Neodiprion lecontei: one gene and its partner. The protein of the gene in region 1 purifies or fractionates together with the protein of each later gene. This does not show direct contact. Links are inferred from orthologs where the notes say so. Each region holds a gene or a part of one and is shown on either strand. Other genes may lie near its edges.

Region 1 (7,202 bases):
TATCGTCAAGTTTTACGTTGAACACTACGAAGTATTCACACTTGTAATTTTTTGTTACCAAACACCCTGCAATATATAACAGTACTTACGTAATTTGAATTTATTATTCTAAAGAACAGATTTACCAACGAACGGACGATAATCAGTTAAACGAAATGAAACAGTAAACATAAAATTTGTACACATGTTGTTATTATTATTATTATTATTATTCTTGTTATTATTATTATGTACTTTTTACAGAAATTAGCCTTCTACTTTTTTTCTTCTGTCTTTCGTACAAATCATTCGAATGAATAAATAATTCAATTACACTCTTTTATTATTATTTTATACTTCAGTATCAGTACAGAGATTTTTTTTAATTTTTTTTTTTTTTTTGTACACGAATTATTGTGAATTTTAAGAGAAAAAAAACTTACAACTTGATCGGTTTGGGATATGATTACAAATGGTTGAACCATTTTTGCAAACAAAAGTAAAGTGAGATTTATAATCGTTCAAAGAGCGGTCACGTTATTTAATCTGATTTATTATAATTATATCAGCACAGCAGATTCTGATTAAATTAAATATAAAACTTTTTTATTCTTACTGATTTATACGTTAAAATTTTTGGCAGTCATAGAACAGCTCGAGTTTTTTGATTAATTGTTTATTAATTTTTTTTTTTTTAATTTTGTTTATATCAGAGATTTGTCGTTCTTGCAGCGATTCCTGTCATAAAAGTAATATGTTTTATCGAATATGATCGAAGTAGATAATCTAATATAGGTATGCAGTTTTGCGCCTGAAACATATTACAGTGTGATTTAGAAGGGGATTCATGATGTATAAATATTAACTTTCGACAGCTAATTACAAGTCAGAGTTTCTAAGGAGGTACGATTTTTATCTTGAACGAAAAAAAAAAAAAAAATAGTCAACAAATACCTCAACGAAAAGTAGAATGCTTGAGTAGATTCGGAAAGAGTGCTGAGATGCGAATAGAGGATCGTTTAACACATCGTTAAATTTCAAGTTTTTTTTTTTTACCTCAAGTTTTGACCGAATAAAGTAAATAAAAATACAATAAATAACTTGTAAAAATCTTTGACGTAATTATTTGATAATTCATAATATTTCTGAATTATTTTAATCAATAATTACCATCACGTCAAACCGCGTTTCAAATTGGTCGCATGAAACGCATATTTTCTGTATCATTTCTCGCATTCTCCACTCTTTCCGCAGTCGGTAAATATAATTTCCAGTCCCATCTCCAAGATAGAGAAAATATTACATAACAACTGACACAGTCAGTAAGAATACTTGGTGACATATATATTAAAATGAATCACGATGGTTTACAAGATGGAAATTTCTTTACGCTGATACACGATATCGGTTTACGCCATCTTCTCTTTCCGTGGTGACCAATTTGTTTGATATGACTATTACACGCCTCTTTTTGATCTCCGATACTTCTGTCCAATTCCTGGAGTTTTCTTTCTTCTATAAAAAAAATTACAATTAACAACGAATGATCATGTTTCAAGTAAAATTCAGTAAAGTAATGGGACGTTTTACAATCGCAATATATAAACTCAATGTTAAAACATGGACAAAGTATATGAAACCTGAGGATATCATCACCAAACTAAATGTTAGCACAAAGAATTACAAGTAGGATATGATGACGGGTTGAAAAAATATGAACACTGATAAATAATTTATGATTGGGTAGGCGAAGAATAAAAAATGGAAATTATCACCGATGATTGAGAATGAAAATAGGTACAGGGTTGAGGATTAAAAAGTCAAAACAGACGGCATGACATACCAGGGTGCAAAAAAAAACTTACAAAACACATGTTCATCTATAAACAAATTCATAATAGTCAGTTTGAAAAGTTATTCGTTTGACAGTTTCGAAGTGTTAGTTGAGTAAAAGAGAGACGATACGAGCGATTTGTTAATAAAAAATACCCCACCTATTGTTAAAAAAAGATTCTCAAAAATACAAGGTGAATTTAGGATCGATACGACGGACACGGGGTGCTAAGAAGAGTGAATAGAATAATAGTACCGCTTATTGAAAAATCCAGAATCCAAAACTGAAACCAGCTACGCATATGTCAGTGTTATAGAATGACGCATGTCTTTGAGAAGAATAATACAATACAGTTAGGCGACAAACGCTTTCTCTCATCTCTTCGGCCTAAATCTGAAAAGCAAAACCTGTGTGTCAAGAGGTTTTGCAGAGTATGGATGTAACACAAGATTCCGGTTGAATTTAACTGATATTAATCGTCTATGATGCAGCAATTTTTATACTATCTCAGTCTGTACTAGTTGTTAGTATGTAGCTCAAATGCAGAATGCACACTCCGCGTGCTTATCATTGGTGCACGTAATGTCTGGGACTTACCAATTGTGCGGGGGCCACCAATCTGGGCTTACAAGCAATTTGTATGAATCTACCCAATTAAAACAATTCAATGTAGCACGACAGAAAAAAGATTAAATTAATTTTTTCTTAAAAAAGCTCAGCTAATATGATCTTTGCGAGTGAAACTGAGGAAAGCAAGAGAAAAATAAAGATTAAAGAAACGCTTTCATTAAAAATTAGTTGGTTGACGAGAAGCGTATGAATTATAATGCAAAATTGAAGAAAAAAGGAAACATATAATCTCTCGATATGTTTACAGCTACGTATATAAGTTTGTTGTTATTACATAGCGTTGATTGTATAAGTGACTTATTGCAGCAATAAATAGTAAATTATATGCATACAAGCCTATTTGTGTATTATATGACGCTCAAGGTTTTCATTATTAGCAAGTCTAAGTGGTGTATAATTGTGACGCGACAAGTCTCAAGTCTTACGCCATTTGTAATGCGAGATACTGACCTTTGGAGCGATAATCATATAATATTAATTGCAGGTAAAAAAGGAAAAAAAAAAAAAACCGCATATGATGATGTTTAATACTGACCATTGAGTTGATGTTCTGTGTAATAGGTAGGATTTGTTTCGACTCCATAATGGTGTTCTATAAGGTATGGAAGAACAGTCATAGTGTGCCATTCATCACCCCTTAGAGGTGGTACAGGGACTTCTTCCAGTGTCTTAGGCGGTCTCCACAATGTCCACGAATGTTGCCTGATCTGCTGCAGCGTAAATCTTCGGTCGACTTCCTTTTGTAGCATTCCCTCTAACAGTGATCGTAAGGAATTGTCTACAGCCTCTGGTATTTTATATTCACCTTTTCCAATATTCTCATATAACTTGTAAATATTGTCCCCTTCGAAGGGGTATTCGCCTGTTGTAATATTATATCTACAAAGTAGAACAGTTGAACATACTATTCAAATAAATATACATACACGTTACATTTATTTACACACACTCAACTCGTAATAATAAGTAAGTCGAGACATCGTTTGCCAAATATGACGTACAATACAAGTATTGTGTCGGTTTCATATTGCATATCGAAATTTACATGATGTCGAATACATGAGTAAATACAAATTTTTACAAAGTATTAGTTAAAACCACATAGAAATATTTTCTTCAAAATTTTGCAGATTTGCTTCTGTACAGTTTCAATTCAGACTCAAGCCAAGGTAGTTTTAAATAATAATGCGGAAAAATTTGCAGAGTGAAATTTGACTCAAGAGTGTGCAATAACGAGTTGCATTATTTTAGTAACAAAAGCGCTAACTGTAATTACTTACAAAGTGACTCCACTGCTCCAAATGTCTACTTTGAAGCCAGCAAATGTTTCACAGCCATTAGCAATTTCTGGAGGTTGAAATGCCGGAGAGCCTTGGCCCGCCGTGCATGTGTCATCCTTGGCAAACATGTCCAAGGCCTGTAAAAAAATTTCAAGTATACGTAATTAGTTTCAATAGCGTGTGAAATTACAGCATGAAGTATTATTTGAAAATAACCTAAATATAAAAAGTAAAATGATGTGAAAATGCTTTAGTACACTGTGAGGATTTGACTATCTAGTTCTAACGATTATGTAGCGATTAGAGGTGTAGCTAATCAAACGTACACACCTCAGCTACACCGAGGTCGCTAATTTTCAGAGTACCGTCTAGCGTCAAAAGTAAATTTCCAGGTTTAATATCTTTGTGAACGATTCCCTTGCCGTGAAGGTATTCAAGGCCGTCCAAGAGTTGGTTAAAATACCCGTGCGCTTGCCAGAGCGGAAATTTCTTGTGAGGTGTGCTTTCCAGCATATCCTGAAAATAATACTGATAAGTTGGAAAAGTTTTGGCCTTCTTACGCAATTTCTGTAACTTCTACCCGCAACTATAAGCGCGGAAAATAAAAAAATAAACAAAAAAAACACGATTTTCTTAAAGTCATCGATAAGTAAAAATGTTATTAATGCAGTTTTTATATTTCATTTCGACATAACGTGTGTGAATAAACGTCTTTCTTACAAACGATTCTAGGGTGTGCCAATTACTGTGAAAATGATCTAATGGAGTCATAATTTATACGTTACATTGATATAACAGTATTTAAACAGCAAATATACAAAGATTGTAAAAAGGAGGCAGAATGTCATCGGCTAGAAATAATTGAAGCATTGGCCTTTGGAATGGAAAATTAATTCTAGGATTAGACATTTTAATAATGAGAAACAGAAAGCGTATACCTGTAAACCTCCCACGCAAAACTCCATTACCAAATACATCTTTTCTTTTTCGTGATTATATAAAACGTCCACCAACCCGATAACATTTTTATGTTTCAATATCCTCAGCATTTGAATTTCCCTAAAACAGAGACGAAAACAATCGAGGTTAATTCTTGAATTAGATTAAAAACTCTCTACGCCGAATATGCAAGTTGTTCAAAATCATCATAAGCTTGAGAAACGACTGATTAAGAATTGATACAACCATGATTAGCAAGTAATTGTATTTAAACTAGAAGGAGAGAGAGTGAATGAAATTAATAAAATGCAGGGCAATAAGATGTTGAATTTTGGCAAGTGAAATGGTATCGCACCGTTGAACATTGAGTTCGCCGTTGGGTATCCTGCGGAGTTTTTTTTTCTTCAAAATCTTAACAGCTCTCCGACAGAGGGTTTCCGAGTCGAGCATCTCTTTAACTTTTCCGTAACTCCCCTCCCCCAAAAGGTCACCCATAACATATTTACCAATTAATTTACATGTTTTCTTTTTTTCCTCATATATTATTTGGTCCGAATCCACTCTGTGAAAGAACATGTTGATATCGTCCAAGTCATAATTACTATCGTCGTTCTCCCACCTCACTGGCTCTATGTCGCTGAATATTTCATTATTTATCTCCTCGACGTCAGGATCACCTACTGTGATCCTACTGTCCATTTTCACAACACCGAATATCACTTAAATTACATAAATCTTTTACAAGTTAACCTAAAACACCACCGGCGACATCATTGTTGTACCGAAATCTCACCTCATACCAAGAGATGGAACATCGCTGGACACGTAAATAAATTTCGCGCCACCTAGCAAAGAAAATCAGAAGTATAAAAGGTAACTAGATGGTAAGCGCATGTTCAACCTTATCGCTTAAGCACCTTGAAAATTAGCTACAAAAATCGTCGGTACAGCGTGCTCATTTGGTAGAATCATTGATCTCTTATGATTGGTGGATAAGATGCTAGCTATATAATATTGATAGGTACTATTCGTTTAAAAAAACCTTCAATGAGTAATGAAAAAAAGCCCTACTATTTAGTGAAGTATTTCCTTGCAAGGCTTTGCTGTTGAGGTTGTTAACTTGTTAATCGCAAGTCGAACCGCATTTATCAGACACCGCAGGTGATACCTGTGAACGATAATAAATAGAATTACCATATTATTTGAATAAGCAAATATTTTTATTTTCTATTTGCTGATAGATTGGAGTAATTTTCTCCTCAGCGATTTGCACGTTGTCTCAACACGATTTCCTGAAAAATGTTTGTGCCAGGAAAACATGTGATAGGGTCAAGAAAACGAAATGTAATAAATTATTTGATATATTCTTGTCTCGTTACACAGAAACGCAGCTGGCTTTTACAATCGGCTCCTCCGTGGCAGCCTTAATAATAGCTGATATATTATATGTATGTGTAATGATAGACAATACGTACTGCATTAAGATGACTATAAACCAAGTGCGAATGTCGCAGTACAATTAATGGTTGTAAATGAGATAGAATAGATTATTTACAATACCATTGTTAACCATTGGAAACGAGGTCCCCTCCCTATTTTGGAATGTTGTCTCTAGTTATGATACGTATCCTTAAACGATTATACTTATAATTTATAGAAATAATAAGTTAACTACATTATTTGGGTATTTATAATAATAATTTATAAATCATCACAACTATACCACGTCGTCTTTTTTCCCCATATAAGTGGACAGTACATATTTAATCTTCAATTATATATACCGTCGGATTTGTACTTAAAGTATAATAATATTATTTGGACAGAGTTATTTAAGCCGGTTCAATTTTACATCGTCCTCACATGCGAATAACGGGTATTTCGTTGCGACCAATTCTCGTTCTAAATATAAACTAAATAGATCGCAGATCACTATTTCGAGTAAATATCATTTTGCTTATGACGGTTAATACCGATGAAAATACTTCTGGAAAAGATTGAAAATGACTCGGATGATCGGGATGAGTTTAAGTAATGCGAAACATTTGTTCTCCATTACTTTATTCGATATAGGGAGAGAAAAATTTCTCACGAAACTCACTGAATAGCGTGTGTTAAGACGTTGCATGGAATGATTGAAGGTGTCGTGCGGCGATTGCCCGCTGAATAATAAATAGCTAACAGTTGTAAATATCTGTCTCTCTTTCTCTAGTGATCACACTTCCGCTATAGGCAATATATAGTATCTATATACTAATGACTATTTATTTAGAGTTTTAATAACACTACGTAGGCCTTTTTGATTTTGCTTAAGATACAGCTTAATTGCATGAGTCAAGTTTGGTTTTTTTTTCAACCGATGCAACGTTATAAAACTACGTTTCTGCTACAGTACAATATGCTAATTAGAAGATTTAAGTGATATATTATTACACTAAATTTATAATTATGTTATATAATATATATAATATGTTGTATATTATTTTATTATATAATTTCTATAATTTATTATTATAAATTTCACGTTGTTTTCGAATGGC
Region 2 (5,965 bases), on another chromosome or scaffold:
TTCGTATTCCGATGAAAATACCTTCGCAAGACGCAATCACGTCGAGCTAAATATTATATTACAGTAACAGTTAAATCGAGTGAAATGCGAGACAAATAATATTACAACCGTATGATACTTTTAAACTAACTTATTGTTAACTTCATCCCTATTATTTTCATTGTCACGGCTTGTACAGCAATATAATTTGATGGGTCAATAAGAATCTTCGACGATTTCCTTTACTGACTCTGATTACCGAAATCACGACATTCACACCTGAAAGATGTATGCAAAGTGTAATGTCGCGGTGAGTACTTAAATTTAATGCGTGAGCCATTTGACGTAGTCAGTCTCGTATGATATTATTCCTAAAGGTAGGTAAATGAATTACTTACATGCGCCATTGACGTATGTTTACTTTCTCGTGTAATGTATCGAGTACCGCGATATCATTATATAGTCGTATAATAACTTGGAAGGACCGCAACTCCAAGTCGCGCGTCATTATCGCAGATTTTCAAGTGTTTTTTTTTTTCATTTTAATCTGTTAATTTTTCTTACAACACATGCATAATATGCACCATACAACACTTGAACGTGACGTTGACTCGTTCGTTTGTTATTTATCGATTATAATCTGACATGTTTGAAATGTTATTTCAACTCGATTAGTTCATGGAATTGATAATCGTTTGAAATTAAACAATTTAGCTCTCGTTTATGTAACAATCCGAATACGTTTTACCCTAAGTTGTAGGATCCTGGTGAACGGTAATATAGAAGCTTGATCTATAAAGTAAAACGTGTGATACGTGTAGAAATTCGAATAAACTTTCGATGTAACTAACGTTTTTTTTTTTTTTACTCAAAATCTCAACGTCGAGTAAACCAAATACAATGTTTTTATACAAATTCGTTAAACCAATAACGGAGAAGAAGAGTAAAACCCCTAAATGCGCGAATAAAAGGTGCTGAAAAACTGTTCACGTTGTAGCAAATTTCTATACATCTAACAAATTATAGAATTCAGCTATTTACGCTAAGCTTACAGACTGCATTATTAAAAATCATTCTTACCGACGCCACAGTCGTTTTTAGTAATCGATTCGCGTGTTGTTGGTCTGCCGAAGGCGCCACTGACTTGACTTGATTCGAGATTGTTTAACTGCAGAGAGTGGCAAGGTCAGCCATGTTGAATCACTAATTTACGCGCTAAATTCAAATTTCAACAACACAGCCAGTAAACAAATTAGATTCTCGTTTTTCTTTGCTTAAAAGAAATAATGCGGCAATCTTTGGAGAAACATCCACAACTGAATAATAATACTGTAAAAAATAGATTGCCTGTAGATAACCGAGGGTGATTTATCGTCACGTCGATGCAAGTGTATTTTTCAAAAAAGACCACGATCACAATAAAAGTGATCACTTCTACCACTTGAGAAGCGCGAAAAGCCGTATGTACAGCATACGAGACTGTTACGGAGAATCCAATATAGACTTCGGTGCGATGTATACGTAACAGTCAAATCGCTAGCGTTGTTTGTTCACCATTGAAAAAAAAAACAACAAGTTACAGGCATACCGGGTGAAAACAAACTTCTCGGTGACTTAGAACTGTTTGCATGACAATCACTTACCAAGGCCAGCCCCACACATCGAGTTAATTAGGAAGAACCATTAAATTGAGTATAAATTTGAACAAATCCAAATACATGGTACGAGCCGAGCACGTTTGAACTCTTCGGCATCCCAGAATTCTGTGAGTAGCCTGAAAGTAGCGTCGCTGCAGCAGCGACGTTCACTCTGATCAGATTCTTGGAACTAAATTTCGAGCACAAAAACATGTCGGTAACGTTACCGATGAAAGTCATTTCGTGTGTCAGCGGTATTTACACTGTCAGTAAATAGAGTAAACATAGGAAACTGAAGAGACGATAAAAAAAAAAAAGCGAAAAAAATATTTGCCGACCGAATACGTCCGAAGCCGACTGATCCGTTGATCGACGAGCAAGGATCATGAAGTTAGCCCTTTGACGGAATTCTGTAAGAACTGCGAGAGCTTCAGAGCGGTCTGAGTGTTCGTAGAAGGTTTCAAAACGTCACTGGCTCCGATAATTTGAAAAGAAATATAATAAACGTTGTAAATATAAATACGTTACTTGATATTGATGATGAAAGTATCATCACTAATGGCATCGTCACTCGAGCTATTTGTAAATAATGTCCGTACGCTCTCAACGCAAGGTAGGAGCCAATTTGATTAGAACAAAGAATTGAGAGAACCGGGTACATAACCTCAATAGTGCTAATCGCATGATCGTTTTTTGCCTGTGAAACAGCGATAGGTGATCGGAAAATTGAAATCTGAACTTTTGAACACCGGTCGGGTAGAATTTGACCCACCGGTTGAAAAATTTCGAAGTTTCTACCGAGCAAAACTGAAGAAAATAAAAATTACATATTTTGCTCTTTATTCTGTCCTCGCGTTTTAAAAATTCTTTTCTTCATGTTCGCAGGCAACTTCAGAGAGCTCTGTGACATTATCAATAAATCTACGACCACGCTCGCAAGAAACGGGCCACATTTAGACAATGTCTTAGAAACACTTGACCTACAGCAACACTCACTGGGAATCCTAGCCGTCCTCTGCGTAAAACTTTCCCTGCCAAATGCCAACGGAGCAAACAACCCAGATGCCTACAAGCCGCTGTTGAATCAGGTCCAAGACTTCATCGTAGGATGCAACGGGGAGCAAGTCAGATTCGCCCCGGATACATGTGATAATTTTTGCATTCTTGGTCACTATTTAGCTGCTTCTACGATACATCGTCATCGATGATTAACACATGGCGTATATTTTTTCAGACACAGAATTATGCCACCTTTTAAGCCAACTCTTGATAGACCTGCAAATGCCTCTGCGAGGTGTCGACCTCTTGCGCAGAGCAATACGAAAAATACAGCTGTTCGACAGCCAGCTGACATCTATACACGCAGATTTGTGCCAGCTGTGTTTACTCTCAAAGTGTTTCAAGCCTGCGCTAGAGTTTTTGGATACTGATATAACCGGTATAAGTCAAGAGGGTGGATATTTTGATGCAAAATACTTTTTGCTATACTATTATTACGGTGGAATGATATACACGGCATTGAAAAACTACAATCGAGCCTTGTACTTTTTCGAGGTCTGCATAACGACCCCTGCGATGTCGGTGAGCCACATAATGTTGGAGGCGTACAAAAAGTACATGCTGGTGTCGTTGATTCTTCATGGTAAAATAGTGACCATACCAAAGCATGCGAGTCAGATCGTTAACAGGTTTATCAAGCCACTGAGTCAGGGGTATCACGATATCGCGACGGCCTACTCGACCAATAGCTGCGCACAAGTTAACACCGTGATGACCAAGCACCAAGAGCTGTTTGTCAGAGATCACAACTGGGGATTGGTGAAACAAGTCCTACGCTACTTGTACAAAAAGAACATACAGAGACTCACCAAAACTTTCCTCACCCTGAGTCTTACGGACGTTGCTAGCAGGGCACAACTTCCCGGGCCCACTGAGGCTGAGCAATATATTCTAAACATGGTGAGAAGCATGCTCGATTGGCCACTCACGTCATTTTTGCTTTGCGGCTAAACAACTTTACTAAGCGGCTGCATAATCTCTTTTTCAGATTGAAGACGGCGAGATATTTGCAACGATCAATCAGAAAGATGGAATGGTCGTGTTTCACGACGATCCCGAGAAGTATAACTCACCCGAAATGCTTGCCAGGCTTGAAAAAGAAATGGAAGCTTGCACGGAGCTCGATAAACGGGTTCTAGAGATGGAGGAAGAAGTGCTTTTGGCACCTCAATATGTGCGTAAAGTGTGCTGTCATGTAGATCAAGATGAGCCATTGACAGGTCCCGTACATACCAATGTAACCAATACCCAAGGACAGTCTAAACATAGCACTTACTCCATGTAACATACCATGATCGTGCGTTATCTTTATTAAAAAACAAATACAAAAAAAAAAAAAAAAAAAAAACACAAAAAATGGAAAAAAAGAAGGGAAAAATCATTTTCAAAAAGCCACATCGAGAAAAGGAAAGAAAATGTTAAAGCTCATTTCAGTTAACCATAATTAAACAAATTTGTAAAGCAAATTTTTTTGTTTACTATTATTCGCACTTTTTACAAACCTCATTGCTGATAATACAACTGCCTAATTGATATATAGTGTACTAAAAATTGTCACAGCAATTACCAATTATTTGTCTTTAGAAACTACGGTGTGTTAAATGTAAAAATAAGTCTTGTAATCTACGGATGAATTCTAAGTATGGAATGTTATTTCTAACCTTTGTTTCTATTGCAACTAAAAACTGTTTTTGCAAATAAAACTAGATTCTAAGTTCTAAACTAAAATTGCATTGGCTTTTCTGAAATAAGCTTTATTTAAAGTTGCCAACGAATTCTATTATACGTCAGCTTTCGTTAACAATCGATAACTACCTATTTCACCATTTCTGGTATTTATTCGGAATTTGAATTTTTTTATCAATAAATGCGTACCAAGGCACAATACTAATATATTTAATAGATATTCTGAATATTTATAGCAGGTATTTATCTAGTCAACGTTAATTTGTGAATTCACTGACTCGAAATAATATTTAATAAGCATAGTGCAGTAAATTCGCTATTCTGTATTCACTGTGAAGTCAATGTTATTTTCCAAAAGCGGCAACAGGAAACGGAAGAATTACAAGTTACAAAATACTGATTCAGTCATTGCCCAAGTTAACGAATGTTGATTGTGACTTGTAATATTCGAGATAAAAATGGAAAGTATTAATTTTGACTCACAAATTTTCTTGTAGAATTATGTAATCTAAGCATCCGTTAGTTGCATCTTTTCGATGAGAAAAGTCTCAAAAAAGTTGTTGCTGATTACTTTGCTGCAGGAGTTTAGGTCGTTGCAAGGATATTTGGATCGGTGATTAACAATCACTGCACGAGGAACACGGTCAGAAGGACAAGTCCTTAAAGAAAACTGTAAAATGACATATATTATTGAATGCACATTCGATAATGTATTTATTCAATTGCGCTCTAAGGAAAACTTGTAGGTTTTCTTTTTATTTATATTATAATACAAATCATCATTTATCCACCTATAATTTCATGAGGAACTCTACAAGCTCTGTGTACATTCGCTACATTCTTTACACATCAGGCACTTAATTGCACTGTAAACCTCATCGAATATATCTTTTTTTGATCTTGATCCATCGATAAATTTAACCTCGCTCAAACTACTGTCATTTATTATTTCTGACTTATGTTTCAAGAATTCTGGCCATACAATTTTTTCATAATAACCCGGAACGTCTGGTGGAAGGTACGTGCGAAGTTCTCGCCTCTTCCAGCACTCATCCTTGTCAAGGGTAATAAAATACTTTAAATTGGTCAAATCTGATATTGGTTTGTAGCTAAAAATGAGAAATCCTTCAACGATCAATACTCTCCTAGTAGTTCTACAGTTCCCATCGCCATTTCCCGTTTCAAAATCCTGAATTACTTGCAATATGTCATTGTGCATTTTTTCCATATCCAAGCTGCTGATTATGTCCATGTTAATATGATTCAATTCAGGTATAAAAGTGTGCCGTGGGCTATCTGTCGGTAGGAAATAATCATCTTGACTTATAACTACAGAGTTGGTTAACTTGGCATTTATTTCTTTAGACAGAGTCGTTTTCCCGCTGCACGTAACTCCGGATATTCCAACAATCAGCCAGTCGCTCATCGTAGTTATTTTTATTTTTCTATATTTCGCGAAGTAATCTTATCGTCTCACTTGTTGAAACCAGAATACCAATATGAAGCTACCAACAATTTATTCCACCACCACAGTTTGATAATAAAGTAAACGAAGACGCTAAACTTGGTCACTTATTCAACAAATGGTACTCCGATACTAATCC

What was found.
Region 2: the proteins of serine/threonine-protein kinase STK11 (region 1) and COP9 signalosome complex subunit 3 purify together in Homo sapiens (affinity purification with mass spectrometry; 5 studies listed by BioGRID and IntAct, with this or other methods). This does not show direct contact. The link is inferred for Neodiprion lecontei from reciprocal best matches to the Homo sapiens genes STK11 and COPS3.

What each region holds. Positions count from the first base shown.
Region 1 is NC_060263.1:39,950,255-39,957,456, forward strand, and holds serine/threonine-protein kinase STK11, read right to left. Parts: upstream 5,450-7,202; 5' UTR 5,362-5,449; coding exon 5,018-5,361; intron 4,783-5,017; coding exon 4,662-4,782; intron 4,240-4,661; coding exon 4,054-4,239; intron 3,861-4,053; coding exon 3,724-3,860; intron 3,323-3,723; coding exon 2,979-3,322; intron 2,460-2,978; coding exon of another isoform or gene 2,411-2,459; intron 2,207-2,410; coding exon of another isoform or gene 2,124-2,206; exon of another isoform or gene 2,069-2,123; intron 1,495-2,068; coding exon 1,337-1,494; 3' UTR 558-1,336; downstream 1-557. UniProt on the Homo sapiens protein: Tumor suppressor serine/threonine-protein kinase that controls the activity of AMP-activated protein kinase (AMPK) family members, thereby playing a role in various processes such as cell metabolism, cell polarity, apoptosis and DNA damage response.
Region 2 is NC_060262.1:2,588,272-2,594,236, reverse strand, and holds COP9 signalosome complex subunit 3, read left to right. Parts: upstream 1-1,946; 5' UTR 1,947-2,153; coding exon 2,154-2,229; intron 2,230-2,501; coding exon 2,502-2,762; intron 2,763-2,850; coding exon 2,851-3,575; intron 3,576-3,663; coding exon 3,664-3,960; 3' UTR 3,961-5,172; downstream 5,173-5,965. Other genes in the region: nicotinamide riboside kinase 1, read right to left, coding at 5,173-5,787. UniProt on the Homo sapiens protein: Component of the COP9 signalosome complex (CSN), a complex involved in various cellular and developmental processes.